2 linked regions of the Arabidopsis thaliana genome follow. The protein of the gene in region 1 interacts with the protein of each later gene in a pairwise test. Each region holds a gene or a part of one and is shown on either strand. Other genes may lie near its edges.

The links. Proteins that work in one complex are often made in the same cells at the same time.
Region 2: the proteins of GSTL1 (region 1) and PPa5 interact in a two-hybrid assay, tested with the Arabidopsis thaliana proteins (one large-scale study listed by BioGRID).

What each region holds. Positions count from the first base shown.
Region 1 is NC_003076.8:626,691-634,911, reverse strand, and holds GSTL1 (glutathione transferase lambda 1), read right to left. Parts: upstream 4,165-8,221; 5' UTR 4,118-4,164; intron 4,062-4,117; exon of another isoform or gene 4,022-4,061; 5' UTR 3,956-4,021; coding exon 3,939-3,955; intron 3,835-3,938; coding exon 3,696-3,834; intron 3,590-3,695; coding exon 3,503-3,589; intron 3,404-3,502; coding exon 3,305-3,403; intron 3,213-3,304; coding exon 3,107-3,212; intron 3,030-3,106; coding exon 2,953-3,029; intron 2,863-2,952; coding exon 2,755-2,862; intron 2,663-2,754; coding exon 2,585-2,662; intron 2,430-2,584; coding exon 2,427-2,429; 3' UTR 2,153-2,426; downstream 1-2,152. Other genes in the region: GSTL3 (Glutathione S-transferase family protein), read right to left, coding at 54-56, 442-522, 615-722, 819-895, 978-1,080, 1,154-1,252, 1,338-1,424, 1,619-1,679 and 2 more; MOS11 (Protein MODIFIER OF SNC1 11), read left to right, coding at 5,744-6,069, 6,193-6,279, 6,372-6,509, 6,617-6,680, 6,782-6,811; AT5G02760 (Protein phosphatase 2C family protein), read right to left, coding at 8,095-8,221. UniProt on the Arabidopsis thaliana protein: Catalyzes the glutathione-dependent reduction of S-glutathionylquercetin to quercetin. In vitro, possesses glutathione-dependent thiol transferase activity toward 2-hydroxyethyl disulfide (HED).
Region 2 is NC_003075.7:622,066-628,570, forward strand, and holds PPa5 (pyrophosphorylase 5), read left to right. Parts: upstream 1-4,003; 5' UTR 4,004-4,137; intron 4,138-4,154; exon of another isoform or gene 4,155-4,257; intron 4,258-4,473; coding exon 4,474-4,609; intron 4,610-4,684; coding exon 4,685-4,713; intron 4,714-4,790; coding exon 4,791-4,856; intron 4,857-4,936; coding exon 4,937-5,044; intron 5,045-5,126; coding exon 5,127-5,192; intron 5,193-5,286; coding exon 5,287-5,407; intron 5,408-5,487; coding exon 5,488-5,569; intron 5,570-5,650; coding exon 5,651-5,693; 3' UTR 5,694-6,005; downstream 6,006-6,505. Other genes in the region: AT4G01460 (basic helix-loop-helix (bHLH) DNA-binding superfamily protein), read left to right, coding at 1-206, 522-632; TIP1;3 (tonoplast intrinsic protein 1;3), read right to left, coding at 3,027-3,785.

The DNA of each region.
Region 1 (8,221 bases):
TCGTACAAGGTGGTTTGGTCTCATACACTTTACTGCTTCGTGCTTGCTTACAGTTACTGCAAGAATATAACCGGAATTAGACTCACATTTAGTATAGACCATTAACCGAGAAAGTATTAAACAAGTCATTTGGCCATAGTAATAGGCTAGCTGATGATTAGTGCATGGTCTTTGCTTTCAAAACGTCTAAGTCGCAAAACGCTCGTTGGAGAAAGATGAGATTGTCTCTGAGCCAGATGCTAAACCGACTCGGTTTTCATTCCCAAAACAGAAAACTAACCCAAAGCAACGAACATTCACACCTAAACAACCAGATGCTTAAAGGCATATATAGCTTTTATGTTCTAACCCCCAAGAAAATATGAAGCAACTCACATTTGGATCCATTAAAATCATGTGGTAGTTCAGTTAAAAAAATTATATCCTAGTTGTATGACTTACCATGAATTTTTTCTTGAAAACCTCCACAATCTCCTTAGGATCCATTTTCGTCTGTGCATAGCCATCGCTCTTGTTAATTTCCTGCAAACATAACACCGATCGCTTAAGTACCATTCCCTAGTGAGGATAAGTGTAATCTTTTCTGACTTAATGAAGATTGCATATATATATACCTCAATCCATGCTGATAGTTTGGGACGTTCGGCAGTAATGTCGCACTTAAATAATTCATTGAGTACAGTTTGGAACCTTTCAATGAACGGGATATAGGCGATATCAACCTTGAAAAAAACAAAGAATTCAAACCGTCCATATAAGAATTAAGACAAACAAAAGGCGAAATGTATGATCTCAAAGAAGGTTAGTGAGGCTTATACCAAGCTTAACTGACCGAGGAAGAACGGCCCGTCATCGAACTTATACAGAGCGTTTTCCAGATAATCTAACACAGGTGCTGAAACAAGAACATGAAATTTTTGGTCATAATTTTGTCGCCTTTTCACCCCTGAAAACAGTTGAAGAGTTTAAAGTCTCACCGGTTTCTTTAGAGGGGTCTCCTTTGAGTGACACATACATAGTTTTAACGAAAGTATCAGTATACTTGAGCAACTCGTCGCCAAACTCTCTTTTTGCATGATCCTAGAGAGGGAAATGAATAGTGGAATCAGAGAATAATGAAGGGAAACCATACTCGGTATAAGGGATGTGTTACCTCGGGGTAAAGAGAAGGCCCTTCAAAAGTGTTATCAAGATATTTAATCAAATCCAGACTCTCCCCAATGATTTTTCCATTGTGCTCAAGCGCTGGCACCTGAAAAAGATAACGAGAAGTTTCCACTAAGTCATAACCAAAAGTGGAATGTCACATATGAACTCGTGAGTTATAAATAGAAAACCTTGTTCTCTGGATATACTTTCTCCTTGTACCAAGCAGGCCTATTCCCAAGATCCAAAGGAACAAGTTTAATCTTTTCTTGCAAACCCTACAACCACCGGAAACCAACCAAAGAATCCAACTACTTTATAAATAGAGTACACATATGCAAGAAAGATAAAAGTTTGTGAGACGTCAAATTAACAAACTTCAACAAGATAACCAATCCGGCTTCAAATATCCCTAATACGACCAAAATATTGTTAAAGGTGAGAGACTAGTACAAAGGAGAAGCTGTTAAACCTTGAAGTTTCGAGTGATCCAAACTCGTTGAGCAAATGGGCAAACGTAGCTTGTGTACAACCTTTGGTAACACAAAACAATAAGAGGTTAAGACATAAGGGAAATCCAATAAACTACAGAACAGAGCTAAAACCAAAAGCATAAAAGAAGCAACATTGAAGATTAACCTTGTGGTTCCGTCGAAGAGAGACGGTGGATCAGAAGTAGCATCAAGCGGAGCTGGACGATCTTCTACAAAACTGTCTCAATAGAATCAAGCCACAGAAAAACTTAAATTCCCAATACAGCTGAAATCGAATAGACTTAATGTAAAAAACATGAATTTTGCGAAACTTATAATCCCAAAATCGATCAAACTCAATAAAGACTCTAAATTCCGGATAAGAACATAGATCCTTACATAAAAGAAGGAGCCATTGACGATACAAAGATCTGATTCTGTAGAAGAAACTACGGATTTTTTTTGTGTGGAAGCGTTTACGTTTCTCGAAATTACAGTCATCATCGTACACGTGGCAGTTTTGTGATCTTTGTCGGGAACTCCATAACTCATAATGGGCCGTAATTGATACAATTCAATAAGGTATTCAATAAGGTATTAAGCCCATTTTATTATTGACATTTGTATTATCCGGAATAAACCATGTCTCTCTCTTTGATGAATGAAAGTAAACAATACCAAATATCTCTTATTTATCACAAAATGTACAATACCAAATCCAGAAATTTATAACACTCTCAAGTAGTAATATTTCTTCTTCATAAGCCATCATGGCATCGTTACCAAAGTCCAACAGATTTGTTACTTTTACTGCAAATAAAGAAAAACCGGAATCGGTTAGTTTTGTTTTAGAACGTTAACCGGAAATTGAGTTAAGACAAAATTGCAAAGCCTAACATTAAAGTAAAAAGGGCATTTGAGTCCAAATAAACAAAAGTTTAAACGTTTATAAAAAGCGAAATTACCATGAATCTCTTGAAGTAATTGACAACATATTCGGAGTCGGTTTTGGTCTGCGTATATGCAACCATCTTGTTCATTTGCTGCACCACACACATTGAGGTAAAGCAATCAAGTATGCAGCTAAATCATACAAAAGTTTTACCATGTTGACATGCATATATCACACGTGTACCTCAATCCAAGCAGCTAGATTTGGCCGTCCGATTATAATTTCATATTTAAAAACTTCGTCGAGGAAGACTTGAAAGCGTTCGATAAATGGGATATATGCAATATCAACCTAGCAAACAAAATCGAGTAATTTTGTAACCATAGTGACACATTCAAAAAAGGTTCATTCGCACTTAACATTTTGATAAGACTAATATACCAAACTAAGCTCGCCAAGGAAGAAAGGACCATCATCAAACTTTTTCAGAGCATTTTCCACGTGATCGAAGGCTGATGCTGCGTCAAAAACACACATGTTTCAGCCTTCAGATGCCCAAAACAATTGACAAGACACAAAAGAAAATCAACCTTACCTGTTTCTTTAACCGGGTCACCTTTGAAAGAGCCAAACACAGTTTTTACAAATGTTTCATCGACATATTTCAACAGTTCTTCACCAAACTCTCTCTTTGCAGAATCCTAGACCAAAAATTTCAAAAAAACAACATCTCATCGAAATATTGTTACTTACATGACAAGAACAAGTCTATAACATGCCAACAAGGTCATACCTCAGGGTAAAGTGAAGGTCCATCAAAATTGCTATCGACATATTTGATTAGATCAAGACTCTCCCCAGTGATTTTTCCATTGTGTTCAAGGGCAGGAACCTACATACATCATTATCACAATCTTTTAGAGTCTTCTATTGTCACTTTTGAAAGAACGTTAATTAGTTTATAAGGATTAATCATAAAAATAAACGGCACCTTGTTTGCAGGATTAACTTTCTCCTTTAACCAAGCTGGCCTATTAGGAAGATCTATAGGAACCAATTTGATCTCATCTTGCAGACCCTAAAACTCCCCAATGTCAAACAAATCAACAAATCTTGCTTATAAATTTTTCATCTCGATCTCAATTTACATACATATATACCATAAATATATAAAAAACAAGTACCTTGAGGTTTCTTGTAATCCAAACACGTTGTGCAAATGGGCAAGTGTAGCTTATGTACAACCTTGTGGTTCCGTCGAACAGAGCAGGTGGATCAGAGGTAGCATCGAGCGGAACCTGACGATCTTCTACGAAAATTTTTCTTGATAAAGGAAAAAAAATCAAGGAGATGAATATAGATTTAACAAGAAAAAACGACTTTATACTAATCAAGAAACCTCATAAAGTAAACAAAAAGGATCTTACGGAGGAGATAGAGCCATGGAGAGGATTTGATAAGAGTTGTTTCTTCAGGGGATTATTATTGCAGATATGATGTTTTAAAGGAACTATGGATCAAACACATAAGACTACGTATATATATTATATATATACTCAATGGAAATTGGAATTAGGAATTAGGAAGAGGCTTGGTTCATGCTTACCCAATGGTGACTACCAATAGAAAAAGGTAAACGTACGTCAGCGTTTGATTAATCTCTGTCGTTGAACTTTCTAATTTTTGTTGTGAAGGTCAAAGATATTGATCAAAAGCTTCTACTAGTTTTGTTTGCGAGAATACTAATAATCACATACGTGAAGTCTAATCAGTTGAATACGTGAATACTAATAATCATATTAATTTTTTTTGGTTGCTTTGTGATGATTTTTCTTTATATCAAATAAAAAGAGTTTAAAAGAAGAAAAAATGGTAGATGACTAAATATTTCAATTGAAAGAACTATTTTTGTTAATTACTGTGATATCTTTTTGTAATGCTTGTAATGTTATAATAATACGATTGGAATGACACACACACAACGAAAAAAACTATTTTTGTTTTCGTCGAAATTTCATTATGACAAGTGGACAAAAACAAAATGCTGGTCAAAAAGCTCAGTCTGTGAACCACGCCATTGGATGCTACCTCACCGAATCATCTATGCTCAATTCGTATCGTATAAATAATTATTCTTTTTGTATATGAAAATATTATAATTCTTTCATGCCTTTCTTTTCTTTCTTTTTCTGGTAGACCTTAAGCTTCTGGTTAGTGGTTACTAATATTTGTATCAGAAGATACAATCAAAATTTTATGTTTTCTTTGAACGTATCTAAATTTAAAAAATTTTACATGTCATTGTCTATACAGATTTCATTTTGAAATATGAGGTGAAATTAATGAACCAAAGAAACCTTTTTTCTTTTTTTTTTCTTCTTTTTTTTTTAAAAAACCTTTTTTCTTCTAAATGCTTTTATAGTTTGTATTCATATTTTCCGATCGTAAGAAGACTTTTGTAGATTTTCACATAGTCACAGAATATACCAAACGGTCAAACAAAGATGCAAAACACATAACACATACTGACATAAAAATATATTAAGAAAGTTTGGGAGATCTTTAAGTTCTTTTGCAGCATTTAACGACCAAACAAAAACTAAAGAGGTCTGCAAAACATTATCTCATCCACACTTAAAACACATCTACTAAATGCTTTGAGTAATACCCACTGATTGCTTTGGTTGATTATTACACTAAACTTCGTTCTCAGTAATCCGGCGCTAAGAGAAAGTGCAACGATGCTTAAAAGGAGGAACAAGTGTTGAAACGAGACATGCATACATCATACATATTCAAGAACGGATGAAACAAGACGGGAATGTTAACAAAGTTCCAATCCTACATTCCTACTTCGCCGGCCGATAATTCGTGGACGTGGTCACGTGGTGGAGAAGATTAAATCATAAAAAAATGAAATTATGAAACGATGTCGTTTTATTTTTTATTTGGGCCGGGCTATTTAGATCAGACCCGGATTGTAAGCAAGTTTAAATAGACAATATTGCCCCTTATTTCGGATGCTTAATGTATCGGACTATAATTTAGATCCGATCCGGCCCATAAGAATCAAGTTTTAATCTGACTATATTACCCTTCGTGTCGAAGGGCTTTAAAAGTCCCCGAGACTCGACGGTTCGACTCTAACCCTACAATAGTCTTCTGCTAAAATCGCGAAAGAGATATCTTACGAATCTCCACAAGTGCGAATTTCGAACGGAGCTACGATTCCATGGCGACCAACGGAGAGAAGGTCACGGCTACGGTGGTGAATGGCGGAGGGCTATCTACTGGTGAAAACCCTAAGAAAATTGTAGACCTCAACACTACGGAGTTAGATCGTACTGACGACATTCTCGACGGAGAAGTCAAGGGATTTTCAGATTCTGGTGAAAAGAAGGAAGAAACCGACTCTAATGGTATTGGATCGACGGCTGGTGTTGATTCTGGGGATATCTCTCCGGTCGATGATATCCAGAAGAAGATTCGACGTGCTGAGAGGTTTGGTGTTTCGGTGAAATTGACCGAAGAGGAGAAGCGCAATTCTCGTGCTGAGAGGTAAAGACTTTAATATTTATTCGTTAGATTCCGTCGAATTTAGGGGTTTCGAAAATTAGGGTTACGGAATTTTTTATACTTATTGTCAAACCTATGTTGTAAGGAATTTCACCTTCGGTGCAGGTTTGGTACTGTAGCTGCAGCAGTGGTGAATGGCTCAGAGGGAACGAAGAAAGCAGAGGAATTGAAGCGAAAAGCAAGAGCTGATAGGTATGTCACAATACTTTCTTTGTACTTGATAGTTGTTTATTGGTTGGGTTTAGAGAAAAAGGAGTTTCATACTCGCTTTGTATTTTGAACAGATTTGGGGTTCCTTCTGCGACCTCTACTACTGATAAGACTGAGGAAGAGGCAAAGAAGAAAGCTAGGCTCGCTCGTTTTGGAAAAGAGACTAAAGTTGATTCTGCTGAAGAAAATAAGCGCAAAGCTAGAGCATTGAGGTACTTTTTCTATGCAACCTCAAATTCTTCTAGTCCCTGAGAACTGAAGTACTGTGCCATGCTTTCTAATTATTGATTTTTGTGGTTTGTGAATTTCCCATCATTAGGTTTTCAAAAGAGGCTTCAGCAGATGCATCTTCAGATTTACCTGAGAAGCAAATTATTGGCAAGGTAAACAGTCTTTTAACTTCTGTTGTGTCGTCCATCTGATAGAATGAGAGAATTGATAGAAAAGCTAATGATATCTCTTGTTGAACTCTTTGTTTCATCAGGAGGCAGCTGTATCAGGAAGCGCTGCCTAAGGTTCCTCAATAAAGTTTTTCCGTCTTTGTAGTTAGGTGAGTTTTTCCAGATAATTCTTATTGCATTGCAAACTCTTGTTGATACGATTTTTTCTCGTATTTGACTCCATAATCTGTTATATGGGCAGGTAGTGTGCTAGCGTTTTATGAGTCCCTCTCTGGCTGCTTCATTCTCTCTTTATTTCTGAATTAGAAGTCCATGTGTGTAGTATCTTTACTAAGTTCGGTCGTGGAGCAATCACCAGATGAGATCTTGAGAAACCAATAAGTAACCTATAGTTCTGATTGTCTGAAATGACAATTATCAATGTGTTTAGGACCTAGGAATTCTGAAGTGGCTGGTATTGATGTTTTCCATGTTGCAGGTTCTTGGAGTGGTAAGTATAGTTTGATTAATAACTTTATTTCGTTTTAATATATTGGAATGTGGATGGTCCTTTTAGTATTGCATGTTCGTATCAAGCACAAGCACCAGCAATTGAAAATTTGTACTGCATGCAGCAAATATTTAAGTAAGGGAGACATTTTTTTACTGTTTTGAACTAGTTAGAAATTAGAAGTGTTGATTACTTTTGAGTTGTGCCTATTTTGCTAGTTTTTCTTAGTCTTGGTTACGAAATTTAGCTGGTCTACTGGTGTTCTGTGCTTGATTGCGAATATTGCATGCAAAATGGATCCCATAAACATGTGTCGTTCTTAGGTTACTTAATTTCATATGACCTCTCAAGCCGCTACTTCAGAATTTCTTTGTCATGTAAGACATCATTAGAACTATAGATGTACTTGTTGGTTTCCATATCTCTGGTCTCTATGGCAGTTGAAGGAAAGAGAGCCTCAGATTCTAAATTCTCTGTTCGTGGGACTGCGTTTTTGCTGGCTTCTGATGCTACACAGTTTCTTTGTTTCTGTAATAGATTTTAGATAAACTTTTGTTGATACTTGCTTTCTGTTAATTTTGAATGAAGCGCCAGAAAACTTTTATAAAGGGAATGTAATGTTAAGTTTCAACACATTTCTTGGCTATCTACTGTTTTGTGCCTAAACTCCAATATGTTGCAACGCTTTCGAATTTTACCAGCGTTGACATTGATGATATTGCATGCAAGTACCCTCGTGTATAATTTTGCATACAGGGGTACATGAGAATTCATGTTTTCTTGTGGAGAACATATCAAAGATCTCATAACTTAATATTGTTTCTAGCTATACTACTAGTTCTTTTCTTGACCCTGGCTCCAATTTATTGCCCTTGACACAGGAAGTGTTTTTGCCGTAAGATCTGTTCATGATGTTGAATGCATCGGGTATCCCCCTCTAATTGACAGAGGTGAAGCCCAAGAATTGGTTTTGACCGGGTGGGGGTTGAGATAGACCACAATAACGGTTATATCGTCGTGGAAATGCCTTCTT
Region 2 (6,505 bases), on another chromosome or scaffold:
GATTTACGGCGAGATTCGGCGGTGGAGATACGACAGAAGTGGAGGCTACGGTGATACAGAACCATGTGAGCTTAAAAGTTCGGTGTAAGAGAGGAAAACGACAGATCTTAAAAGCTATTGTCTCGATTGAAGAACTAAAGCTTGCGATTCTACATCTCACTATCTCTTCTTCCTTTGACTTTGTCATCTACTCTTTCAATCTCAAGGTAATTTTCTTAATCATCTCTTAAACTATCAGTTTCAATTTCCACTAGTTTAAGCATTATTATAAATAGTCTTATGTAACTAGCAATTTTTGACTTTTTGAGGAAAATTAAGGAATCTTCATTTTGAAATGTTTGGTACTTAAGAAAATTAAAATGCATGAGAAACCATAATAGAAAATATCTACAATTATGTGTGTGTGTGTGTATTTTTTTCCTTCACTCTAAGCTTAGAAAATTTTAGTTTAATTTTTTAGTAAGTTGCTAATTTTTGTTTAGTTTTGGAGAGATGAGAAATGAATGGTGTTGTGCATGCAGATGGAAGATGGTTGTAAATTAGGATCAGCAGATGAGATAGCGACAGCCGTTCATCAGATCTTCGAGCAAATCAACGGTGAAGTCATGTGGTCAAATCTTAGTCGAACTTAGTTGACTTTTGACTCCTAGTAACGTGTGTAAACTTTAGGTTACAAAGAAAAGGGACGTGATATAAATAAGAAAAACCAAAGAGGTGAAATTTTGGGAGTTTTAATTATTATCTTATACTTTTTGGATTTTAGATTAGTAGCAAACTCGCAGTGTTCTACGATGACATTATTATTGGTCACATGAAGGTTTAGGTTATTATTGCCTGTAATTTTTGAATATAAACTAACCTATGAGTTCAGTTTGACCCCGAAAACGAAAAAAGTTAACCATGAGTAATATTTACTTCCATTTATAAATGTTTCCCACTTAGTAATAATGTTAAGAAATTGACTTTAGACGTCCGTATTAGAATGGTTACGGAAATGGAAACAAATACAATTAAAGATGAAACATCATTATTACTAAGAAGAAGTCGCCTTCACACTTCGCAACCTCTTTTTATATTTTGCATATACGTTTTATTAATACTCTCATATCGTCCATGCGTCTGACAAATCTACGCTTGATAAAAAAGGTACAGCTACAACATAAATTTAAAGGTATTCTTTTGCATCAACGTCTACTGACTAAAAATACTTGTTTATTGTATAATGACTCTAGTTTTACTTTTAACAACGAAGAGAAAGGTGGCAGAATTTTTTTAATATTCCAATGGTAAAAAAGCATCGTAAAAGGAAGCCTATGGTCAGAGTCTCATTGACACATCGGTCTCGCTTGTAATACGTAAAACTCAGCCTATCTCACTCACATTACTTTTTTCGAAATTTTAATTCATATATCGGTTTCCGCATATATTTAACTTTTGTATTCAAAGCTTATTAAAAAATCGGGAAAAATCTAAACATCATAAGCAAAACAAATCCGATCAATATGTTTAAATTCTGTAATACAAGAACAATATAAACAAAAACATATTATTCAGAAAGCAATGATACATTATTTGAATATTGTGTGTAAGAGTGAACGACAAGATCATACGTCAGAGATAATCGACTGGTAACAACTCTGATCTTTTCCAACTTTTGGTCAAAGTCAAACCATTTGGTCATTTTTACAGTAAATTATTGAGTAATATGTCATTTACTCATTTCTTTTGAGGAAAACTCTTTTTTTATCAGAAAACAAAAACAAATTACTCATTTTCGTTTTGGGCTCAAGACAAAAGTCCTTCTTTTAAAAATATTAGCCCAGTTAATCTATACAGGCCCATTAAAGCCCATACTAAAAGAGCCGAGCGTTCCACCGCGTGAGATTGACGTGCGTGTATTTACGCGTTAATGTTTCGCGTGGTATTTGTTTATTTGAATAAAGATTCCTTAGCTTTATTCTTAGTAGGTCCTCATGAGTCATATTCGTGAAATTGAGGTTTTTGAACGAACTCGGGGCTTTGATTCGAAGTCGAAAGTTTTGATTTTATATTGTGATTTCTAAGTCGAAGGATGTGTTACTTTGGTGTTTTTTTTATTTGATTTTTTAAAAAGAATATTTGATAGTTGTAAAGAGTTTTTGTATATGTTTAATTTTTAAATAGAGAAATGGTCAACGTAGCACAATTAACTTGTAATAGAGAATTGCTCAACGTAGCACAATTAGTGTAGATCTTTAAAATTAAATCATCGAGCGAATTTTAGAATTCTCCCAAATAGTTGTTATCTGCAAATGTCATGTTATTTACAATTCTTGATACATAAAATAGTTAGTTTTCCATGTGGTAAAAACAATAAAACATACGACCAATCGACCATTGACATAACTCTTCTAAATCCACGATGAGTTATATATATAAACTTATAATACTAATCACAATTATTGTTATTGAGGAATATACATCGTGAGTATCATCAAATCTCGTCATCGCACTTTGCTTGAACGTGCAAGAAACTTGGAAACGCGTTTAGAGCAAACACCGGGACACCGAAGTACCGTTTATTGAATTCCTTTTTTTGTGTGTGTTGTTCAATACTTAAATCGACTAAAAAATCATTAGCCTAAGATTCACATATCAGAACGTGCTTGGGCCAAAAATAAAATAAAGAACGTGCATGGACCAACCAACCATATATATATCTTCATAGTATTATTGATAATGGCGGGTCCCATTATGTTTGATATATTTTCAGTTTTCACCATGGAAGCATAATCTCAAGAATATGCCTCCAATAAAATTCGTTTGTACATGAATTCCTTAAGTATGGCAGAATACTACGTATACCCCACATAATAGTTTAATCTAATTTAAATTAGTGTAAATTTTCCACCAATCAATTTATTAATTACTTAAAACAACAAAAGTAGTGAAAAACAATTAAAAACACATATCTCCCTCAAAATACCCATAGTAGGCTACAACTGTAGATTTCTTGTTTCACAAGACACAAGAAAAAAAAACCTAACTTAGAAATCATTAGAAGGAAGTGGTTCATGTCCATTACTACCGATAAAGATAGTATCATAAACAATAGCTGCAATGGCTGCACCGATAAAAGGACCAACCCAATAGACCCAATGATTCGTCCAAATCCAGCTAACCACGGCCGGACCAAATGAAACCGCGGGGTTCATCGATGCACCGTCGAAAGCACCACCAACCAGAATGTTAGCTCCAACGATTAACCCAATCGCCAAAGGCGCAATGATTCCAATATCACCTTTCTTGGGATCCACGGCAGTAGCGTAAACCGTGTAAACTAACCCAAACGTCATCACAATCTCGAAAACGACTGCGTTCCAGGGCGTCACTCCATATGATAGCGAAAACGCAGCCGTTTCCATCCCGCCAGTGCTTACCTTGAGCAACAAGCAAGCTACGACTGCTCCGAGTAATTGAGCGATCCAATAAAGAATAGCTCTCAACAACGTTATGTTTCCACCAATAAAAGCCCCAAATGTAACCGCCGGGTTCACATGACCACCTGAAACGTTAGCTCCAACGGAAACCGCAACGAACAACGCAAACGCATGAGACAAAGACGCGGCCACAAGACCGGCAGGTGTGGCTGGACCATCTCCAGTTAGTTTTCCATAAGCCATTCCAGAGCCTTGACCCGCGAAAACGAATATAACCATCGAGAAAAACTCCGCGAAAGCTGCTCTAATCGCATCGGGACGACTAGCTTCCCCCGGCGTTCCAATCGCAATTCTGTTGATAGGCATCGTTACAAAAAAATTTGCTTTCTTGCTTCCTCTTCATTTTGTTTTTCATCAGTAAAAGTTTAAATAGTTAAAGCGTTAGTGCCAAGTGTGTGTATGAGAATCGTTCAAGAGACTGAGATTAGTGTTTTACGGTGGGCCCTAGGTTATAAGAAATCGAACGGTGATTATAAATTCATATTTAATTAATAACTTACTTACCAATTAATTAAATCTTAATCCGTTTTTCTCGCTTTCTATAAATACTATTATGGGTAGCAATTGAAGAACACGCGCTTTACTGTTTTCTCATCATCGTCACTTTTCTTTCTCCACACTTTCCGCAAGATTGTTCTGTTCTTCAAACGATTCTAAGGTACGACTTTTTTTTTTGAAGGTTCTTGATCTCAACTTTTGTTGCGTATTGATGTTTGATCCTCTGGATTTTGTATCCAACGGAAGATCTATCGAGAAATGAACAAATTCGATACAAATTGTTAGTGTTTAGCTGAATTATGTAGATTTTGTTAACTTCGATCTTGAAGATGATTGATGTTTATCGTACTAGTAGAATCTGATGTTAAATCTTTGAGTGATGGATCGTGTTATCAGCATCAATAGTGAAAAGATTCTATATTGATTTAGACGTGAAGTCATGAAAATTGACTAACAAGATTCTAACGTTTGGTTCTGTTTTGCTCTGTTTTATTAGATGAATGGAGAAGAAGTGAAAACGAGTCAACCTCAGAAGAAGCTTCAGAACCCTACTCCACGTTTAAACGAGAGGATTCTCTCATCTTTGTCTAAGAGATCGGTTGCTGCACATCCATGGCATGATCTTGAAATCGGTAATAATCACTGTTTTAAAGATATTCTGTGTGTTTGATTAGAGTCTTTTTAACTAAATTGTTCTATGTGTGCAGGACCTGGAGCTCCAGTGATTTTCAATGTGGTAAAGTCTTTATGCTTGATGATGTGACAATCCGATCGAAAAAGAGTTAATCATTTGTCTTTTTTGGATGAAATTAGGTTATTGAGATCTCAAAGGGGAGCAAAGTCAAATATGAACTTGACAAAAAAACAGGTCTCATCAAGGTAAAAAGATATCAAATCTTGAAAAAACAGAATGATCTGAGGATATATGATGATCGTAAGTGTTTGTATATGTCTATCAGGTTGATAGGATTCTTTATTCTTCGGTTGTGTATCCTCACAACTACGGGTTTGTCCCACGCACACTATGTGAAGACAATGACCCTATAGATGTTTTAGTTATCATGCAGGTTTGAGTCTAATTCTAACAACATTCACCAAAAGAAAATGAAATGGCTGAAATAATTTCTTATCAAAGTTGATTATGTACAGGAGCCTGTGCTTCCGGGTTGTTTTCTTCGCGCCCGAGCTATTGGTTTAATGCCTATGATTGACCAGGTAACATCCTAAGCTTTAGTTTTTCATGTTTCCTTGTGCTTCAAGTTTGTGTAACCATTGTAGCTAATTCTTTGGGGTTTTGGTTGAAATAAAGGGTGAAAAAGATGACAAGATCATTGCAGTTTGTGTTGATGATCCTGAGTATAAGCACATCACTAACATCAATGAACTTCCTCCTCATCGTCTTTCTGAAATCCGTCGATTCTTTGAAGACTGTATCCTTAAAACCTATTTTAATACTTGATTAGGAAACAAAACCATTTCTTTTTTGCTATCTTTAACCAAAATATAACAGACAAGAAGAATGAGAACAAGGAAGTTGCAGTGAATGATTTTCTACAACCTGGTCCTGCTATTGAAGCCATTCAGTACTCAATGTAAACTTTTTTTTCTTTTTACCTTTTTTACATAATTTGCTTTTCTTTTAAGCAAATCTTGATGTTTGAAATCATTCACAGGGATCTTTACGCTGAGTACATTCTTCACACCCTGAGGAGATAGATGAAAAGAAGACTTCTTCAAGAACATTCCTGCCAATTTTTGGGTCTGCAATCTCAGATTCTGTTGCAGTGAATATGCAAAAGAACAAGAATTTGTCTTATATTTGGATTTTTTTTGAATAAGCACGTGTCTCATATTTGGCTTTGACGCTTTCCTTTTTGTTGTTGTTGTTGTTGTTGTCTTCTGGGGATGTTTTGTCTGAACATTAAGAGTTTGTATTTGTAACACTGCCTTTGGATCTTTTTTTAATAATTTCAAGCTTCGATTTGGTTCCAATGAAACCAGACTTTTGTTTTTATAAATAAGTGTCACTGTCATTTTTGAAGAGTCCCCATTCCACATTTTGTTTTCCTCTGAAATCCAAATCCCAATTAGATTTGCAGAATCAGAATGAGAAAATGTCAGGTGGTGGAGAACTTCTTTTTCTTTCTTTTGTCAGATAGTTGGATCTGCTGCTCACCCCAAAATGGGCCTGGCCCAGTATATATCAATACCAGTAAATTGGCGCGTGTATATCAATCTCCTTTTCACTAAAAAAACACTTAATACCAGAATATATTTTACCAAAAATCTTATTAGTTCTCTAGTTTTTTTTTTTTAAATCTAAATATAAGCGTAATACTTCATCCTTTTTTAATAAGTGATATTTAAAAAATTTATACATGTATATTATCTATTTTACACCTACATTCTATTAATTTTCAAAACAAAAGTAATAGGACTAAGCATTTATTGTAAGGTTGATTTTGAAAATAGTTAATAGTTTTACATGAAAAAATATTGAATATTATTTAAAGTGAAGCAAAATAATT